2 linked regions of the Caenorhabditis elegans genome follow. The protein of the gene in region 2 purifies or fractionates together with the protein of the main gene of each other region. This does not show direct contact. Each region holds a gene or a part of one and is shown on either strand. Other genes may lie near its edges.

Region 1 (3,755 bases), on a different chromosome or scaffold from region 2:
CACCATCCTGAAAAAAAAACACATTTTCAGGTTTTTTTCAAAGTTTATTTTCAGCGAACCTTGTTTAGCAAGGTCATCACAATCTCCTCTAAGATTTCTGCACTCGCTTGGCTTCAATGGGACGGCTGGGGAAACTGTTTGAATGACTGGCGGCTTTCCGGTTGTTATAACAACTGGCTTCACAGTGATAACGATTGGTCCCGATGTTGGAGCGGAGGTGGTTGGTTTTTCTCCTTCTGAAAATGTTACATTTAACTTCTTGAATAAGTTAATGAGAATTGATGTAAACATACCAACTGGACATCCATAAAGAGTGTTGATCTTAAATTTGTCAACTTTTGAGAACCCATTTCTCTGTCCAATAGTGGCTCCATTCTTCTTAGGAATCATAGTTGGTTGTCCATTTCTCGAGAAAGCCTTTGTTCCATAATGCATAATACTTCCGTAATCATAACCAGTACCCAATGACTGAATAGTCCCGTGGCCGTACTTCTCGAACTGTCCCTGCATTCCTGCTTGAATATTGTTCCACATAATTGTGATATGATCGTCACGATCAGTTCGGGATTGTTCGTGGAAAAAACCAACGGCGTGCATCAACTCGTGAAGAATGATTCCTTTTTGAATACAACCAGAACCAAGTGATAGCGATTGCTTTCCTCCTTAACAGTTTGTGATTAGTCGCTAAGAAATATATTTCTAGTTCATACCCATCTTTCCCACCATCGAGTAACATCCTCTGTCTGGGTAGATGTGGACGTAGTTGACATCAGCTGCCTCTTTTGGAACCCATCTGATGCAAGTATGTGATGCATACTCTTGCATAGACGCAGCTATCAGAGAACGACTGCAAAAAATAAATTGTTGATCTTTGTTGTTTGATTTTCAAGTTTCTGGACAATCTCTCAAACTGTACTCCACAAAAGGCGCGCATCAAATTTCATGTTTTCTCTGTGATTGTTTGCTCTTTGCTAATACAAAAAAGTACCAATAGAATTGTCTGGCTTGACCGGATGCGACACTTGAAAAGATCGTCTTATGATCTTAGAAATACGAACCTGTAAGAGCTGTATTGAGACGAAATCGTGTATGGGATTCTGCCCTCTGGCCAAAGTTGAAGTCGGTTTTTGATAGCGTTATACCACTTTCCGTCTTCAGACTTTCCGGAGCCACCATTCGCAAAAAGCTCAGCAGTAGAAGCATTGAGCTGGAAACAAAAATTTTTTATCGGATCCTTTAAGGAAAGAACTAACATTATCATTAGCGATATCTCCTTCAAATCTGTCTTTGCTGTACATGGCATCCGAATCCCAGATGTCGTCGCCGTTGTCGTGAGCCATTGCAGCGGTGATGCGAGTTCCGAGCTCAAAGTCTTCTGGGGTGAGCACAGTTTCATATTCAGAGTGGGAACGGTCAAACTGGAAAATCAGTAAAATTAAAATTTAAAAAATTTTTCAGAATAATAAGCTATCAGCAACAACCAACTTACAAAGTTTTCATCGTTCAGAGGTGGCAGCTCTGGTGGAATATCATATGGACCCAAGATGGCTGCAAAAACTGGGGCTACTAGAAATATCAGCACGTATTCTCTCATTGTGCACCGATACCTGGAAGAAAAAGAAAAAGTATTGCAAATGCATGATTCAATACAAGTGAGGAAATAGGAAGAATGAAAACACAATAAAAATGAAAGGAATATGCTCAGCGAGCACTGGACAGGCAGATCGAACCTTCAGGAAAACAGAGAAATGGCACTGAACAAACATTTGTTCGCCCTTTTTATATTTCTAAGCGTGATGAGAAGAAACGAAATCCGAGGGCTAAGAACGAAATTTAAATTGAATCAACTGTTCAAGATGACCACCATGTTCGGTTCGCGCAAAAGGAGCCGCCTAATAAAGGGGGAAAGGGTGAGCAATGAATGAGAGTCCCCCTTTGATTCTCCGGTTTTTTGCTCTTTTTCCAGTTTTTCTGGTCTCTAGCCATTATCGTAGCACCCCGCTGTCCGTCTCGGTGTGTGTGTGTGTGTGTGTGTGTGTGTGTGTTTGTTTTGAAATGAGCCAACAAAAAAGTGCGTTTCGCAGTGGTCACTACACCTGGACGAACAATTGTTGACGGACGACGGGGAGGAAGGACACTGCCAAATAGATGAAAAAACTTGGGAAACACAACGGAAAATCCGTGTCGTCTAAGGTTTGCCCGGAGGTTTTTTTTCGGCCATTTTTTAATGTCTAGGCAGTCTAGGTAGGTTTCTAGGCAGGTAGGTTTTAATGTCTAGGTACAGTGTAGTTTTAACATATTTTAGCTAAATTGGTATCTATTTTTTTGCTCTACATATATTTGCATATCTCAGTTTGAAAAAGTTCACATTTTATAAAACCATTTAAAAATTGAGAAGTATTTTTGAAACTAGTAAAATTTACTGAAAATAACTTAAAAAGGATAGTGCCAGAGTATCCCATTATGGTTTGATCTACGTAGATCTACAAAAAATGCGGGTAATGATACGCAGAGGTCTCACCTGATTTTGCATGGTGTACAAGTGCTGACGTCACATTTTTCTGAGCGAAACATTCCCGCATTTTTCGTAGATCAAACCGTAATAGGACAGCCTGACACCACGTGGGATAGGAGATAACAAGAAAATTTTTAATGCGGTTTACTTAAGAAAAATTATTTTATTTATGAATTGAAAGTGCTTGCTGAAAGAATTTTAGTAATAGTCTCTAGAATCGAAACATTTGCAATCTTAGTTTTGCTTTAAAGAACGAGAACATTACAAAACCGCATACTGTTTATAGATACTAGTGGTATCTCAAAAAACAAATATTTGTCAGTTTAGTATTAATATAATTCAAAATTAAATTACATTTTTTAAATAATATACATGTTTTAAATAAAAGCATCATAAGAACTAAGATGTGGCTCTATTATAATATTTGTTACAAATGATAGATAACTTCTAGTATTTCAAATTGAAAAAAAAACGTTCACCAGAAATAAATAAATTGATAAGATGCGGCTCCTGGACCTTCAGATAATGCAAGAATGAACGGTGAGTGCCACTTTTTAGCTTGCTCAATGAAGGAGGCACAAGGATAAGGTAGTCTTATGGGCGGTCCGCACTTCATGTCATGTCTATATTTGGTAGGCTAGTTGCTCCGGGTGGAAAATAAAGAACATGGCGTGTCGAACTGCGCGCCGGGTCGCGAGGATGAGCCTCCATTTTCTCTATTCTCCGGCTCGGTTATCAGTCTAATCACTCGAAATCACGATTCACTGCCCGTCTTTGGGTCACCACGGACTAGCAACTAAAAAACACACATATGTCGTCGCTATCGTCGCTGCTCGACCCCCCGAGTGATTGGAAGTGACAGGAAGAAACTACAGATAACGCGAGGGAAGAGAGAAGCGTTGCTGCGCGGCAAAAAAAAGCCAAGACATGGATGCACTTTTAAAGATTCTTTTGATCTTTCCACTTTTTATATTTTATGATTTTTTAGAATTTTAGAAAAAACCCGAAACTAAAAAATAAATCAACTTCATTCAAGAATAAGGATGAAGTAGTTGATTTGCAAATACAAACTTAGCAAGAGATTTTAAGTACTCCTGGTCATAAGTGAAAGTATAATTAATTCGGAATATGGGAACAGTTATTCAGTTTATCAATTGAAAATTTGGGTCATTGAAAATTTGGTAGTGTTATTGTTAGTGTTATTATAACCAGTATTATTATTTTTAAATAAACCTGTCTA
Region 2 (3,755 bases):
ACCGAAAATGACCTCGAAAGCTGAAGCTCTCCAAAAACTTTAAACTTCAGTTTTTCAGCTGTAACGACAACTGATCATCAGGAAGCCATTGAGGACAGTATTCCAGAATGTGATATGCATAATTCTCATTACAGTGCAAGATCGAACAGATCGAATAGTATTGATTTGATGAGTAGATCTCTCTATGGTGAGTGTCTGTTTGTTTAATGTTTAATCGTCTTTCTTGTATTACAGTAGGCCCAACAGTAGTCGATAGAATTGTTCAACCTCAACTTCTACACTTTGGGGATACTTCAGATGAAGAAAGAACAACATATCCAGCTAGATCATTTTCTGTAGAAGTTCCCGGTTTACCGCTTACAGAAGATCATACAACTGTCTATTTGGATAGTGCTCCACAATCTCACATAGGGTCAAGACACAATTTGATGTCTCAATCTATGTATGGAACACTTTGTGGCACGTTAGCAGAGGAACCAAGTTCAGCTGATGGAGAAGATGATTGGAATGATTTTAGGTATTATTCTGTTTGAAAACTTTTATTATTTTCGTGATCTTTTCAAAAGTGGAGTATGAGAAATTTTGAGAAATGCATTGCTGCCCTAACATGTTCGAATACAAATATTTAAAACATTATAAAAATATAAAAATCACAGAAAAATAATTTAGATTGGTACAATGTATATCTGTACTTTTTTGAGTAGATATAAACCTTTTTTGTTCCTTTTCTAGCTCAATTTTCCAAACACAAAAGTGGTCTCTACCAACCGTTAGGCATGTAGATAGGCCGACGGGCATGAGGTAGGTGTGTTTGACAATGTGCCTACCTACATGGGACCCAAAAAAAACCAAAAAAAAAACGAATCAAAAAACAAAATTTGACTTTAATTTAAATCAATATACATTCTATATTTTTAGCATAGAAGAAGATCGAGTTATGGTTCAAATGCCTCTAGCAGCTTCTCACAGAATGTACCAAAGTATGCATGAGGGAATGGTTATAGAAATGAAACGACCACCTGTAAGTGATTTCCTTTGCTTAATGTGAGCATAAAGTATCTTCAGGTATACGGTAGAAGTGTGAGCATGCCACGCCGGCGAGCAACAAATCTCACAACGCGAGCAAGTTCAATGAGCCCCGCAAGAGAGCAGAGACTCACAAAGATAATGTCAGCAGTTTCGGTTTTACTTGATGAACTTGACACTGATGGTCTTCGGCAGGTTGTTGATGAAGCACAGAGAAGACTCAAGAAGCAAAGATAATTTCACATTATTGTTGAAATAGAAGTTTATGGATTCTATAAATATTTGATTCTTGAAAATTTTCACGAATTGTAAGAAAACTGTTTTAAAACAAACCAATCTGCACAATCCTTTCCCTTTGAACATAAAAGTTTAATAAAAACTACAGAAAAAATTAATTATGAAAAGAACGTTTAATGAAATTTGATTCTTTAAAAAATAAAGTGTGATTAGAAATACAACTTGAAATGTTTCCCTTCTTTACAGACTGAATTCCCATGAAACATATTGCATCTATTGTATATAAAGGTCAAGAAACAATTGTTTCTTTCATTTTAGCTTCATTTCAGCTCCCTCCGATAAGTTTTTCATATGCTACTTCGTTTCATTCTACAGACATAGATCGAGAAAAAAACAGTGCATTTGTCTGTGACTTGTAAACAACGTGACTCACGAGCCTTGTCTCGCGCGTACAAGCAGGAAATACAACATATGTGAATTGTGAATCTAATTGAATCAAATTTATGAGATTTTTTATTTTTATTTTCTTCTTTATTCTATCTTTTTGTGTTCTGCTATAATGTACAGTTCGTAAAAGTAGTTACGTGGAAATTAAATTAATTCTAGGTCACGCGATTCGTGTTCCACAAAACACCACATTTCTCAGCAACTTTCAATCACGTGTTGTCCCTGTCTTTTTATTTTTTATAAATTTAATGTTTGTCTTATAATTTAATTAATCTGATTTAGTATTTAATATTAAATTTCTACATTTCCGGAATGCGTCAAGGAGGAGGAGGAGGCGAGAGAATGGTATCTGTCCTATTCTTATTGCTAATACATTTGGCATTGTGCCAAGCAAAATGTGTGATGACGGAATGTGACGGAGAGGAGGATAGCAACCATCCACCATGCAAGACTAACAAGTCAAGTGAGTTTTTTAGATTTTAGATTTTTCTGTCTTTTGAGTAACTGGAGCCTAGTTGGCAACATCCACTTTTCGTTGTGGAACTTTTTTTTTCAACTTAAGCCCAAATTTGATTCAATATCTTATGGTTTTAGGGAGCTTCAGTAAGTGTGGTGAGTGGTGTAGACTAGGACTTTGAAATAATTTCTAATATTACCGAAAAATGCCTTTAATTAATTTTTTCCAGCATATCTACCAATCACCGTGACACGGTCTCTAAATCCAACTTATATGGCTCGATTCGAAAAGTACTGCTCGTATCTTGTACAGGAAGAGGATAAAGCTCAAGTCTGCTGTACAGAACTGCAATTAAAAGGAATGACTGATCGAATTTCTAATGCTGCTACAATCCTTGGATCTTGTCCCAGTTGCTTCGACAATTTTGCAAAACTCTGGTGTCAATTCACTTGTTCCCCAGATCAATCAAAATTCATGAAGGTAATGGAAACGACTGGTCCGAAAAATGTCGTGGTTAAAATGGAGTTCAAAGTGAATCGAGATTTTGTGGAGGGATTGTACGAGTCATGCCGTCATACGTGGTTTGCCAATGGACTTGCTCTTCGATTGATGTCTCTTGGTGGAAAAGTCTCTTTTGAAAACTTTTATGGATTTATGGGAACGAAGAATCTTGCACAGAGTATTCCAATAAACACCGAGTTTCAGTTTTCTCGAATGAAAGTTAGTCGTTCAAAAAAAAGAAAAAGAAAAGAAGAGTATTTAGTAACGCAGTTGGTTTCAGAACGCAATGAATATTCCAACAACACCATGTCACAAATCAGCTGGCCCCAAAGTTCCAGCTTGTGGAGCTATTGATTGTCCAACAAATGCCCATCAACTTGTAGATATCTCCAAAGTTGAACATGTAAGTAGTGAATCAATTCAGCATATTTAAAGGTTATCAAAGCCTTTCCGTTTCCTCACTCACTCCGTCGGAATGCATAGAGGCGCACTTTGATTCCTCAACCGGATCAAGTGTTATAAAGTAATTTTCAGCTCGGAACGAAAGTGTTCCATCCTCACTTCCCAGACTTTGAATGGTTACTGAAAATCTGCGGATGCCTCGCACTTACAGTCCTCCTGGTCTTCATTCTTAAATATTCTTGTCATAGACGATCAGCGCCTAATGGTGAAGATGGATGTTACGTGGATTTGGGAAAAGGAAATTTGGAAGTTCAATTTGAAGGACTTTGTGCTCGATATGCAAATGTTAGTTAGATCCCCCTAGTAATACAAATAAATTCCAGTAATTGTCAGGCTGTAATTAAACATCCATTGATATTTGTTTCACTTGGACTTATTGTAGCTGCAGCTTGTTGCTCTGGAAATTTCAAATTTCACAGTCTCACGCATTCAGTTGATCAAGTTTCGGCTGCCGATGGAGAAACTAGACGGAACGAGAAAAAATTCATCCATTCTTTCGGGTTAGTTTATATTTTTCCCCATTTTTTTCAAAGATTTTACTAGTTCAGACCTAATCATCGAATTGAGCAAATATTCATCAACTTACCACCTACCACTAAGTCTATGTTCAACATGCCACTTTTTG

The links. The genes of interacting proteins can lie anywhere in the genome.
Region 1: the proteins of ncr-2 (region 2) and nas-15 fractionate together in Caenorhabditis elegans (co-fractionation; one large-scale study listed by BioGRID). This does not show direct contact.

The regions. Positions count from the first base shown.
Region 1 is NC_003284.9:775,573-779,327, reverse strand, and holds the start of nas-15 (Zinc metalloproteinase nas-15), read right to left. Parts: upstream 1,608-3,755; 5' UTR 1,595-1,607; coding exon 1,490-1,594; intron 1,419-1,489; coding exon 1,254-1,418; intron 1,208-1,253; coding exon 1,059-1,207; intron 848-1,058; coding exon 711-847; intron 663-710; coding exon 294-662; intron 237-293; coding exon 60-236; intron 8-59; coding exon 1-7. UniProt on the Caenorhabditis elegans protein: Metalloprotease.
Region 2 is NC_003281.10:8,256,323-8,260,077, forward strand, and holds the start of ncr-2 (NPC intracellular cholesterol transporter 1 homolog 2), read left to right. Parts: upstream 1-2,022; coding exon 2,023-2,173; intron 2,174-2,396; coding exon 2,397-2,887; intron 2,888-2,948; coding exon 2,949-3,071; intron 3,072-3,202; coding exon 3,203-3,415; intron 3,416-3,463; coding exon 3,464-3,630; intron 3,631-3,678; coding exon 3,679-3,755. Other genes in the region: F09G8.5 (leucine-rich repeat domain-containing protein), read left to right, coding at 59-187, 235-517, 919-1,021, 1,066-1,263. UniProt on the Caenorhabditis elegans protein: Involved in the uptake or utilization of cholesterol. Ncr-1 and ncr-2 act redundantly to prevent dauer larva formation under favorable growth conditions, and are required for the normal functioning of ADF, ASI and ASG neurons.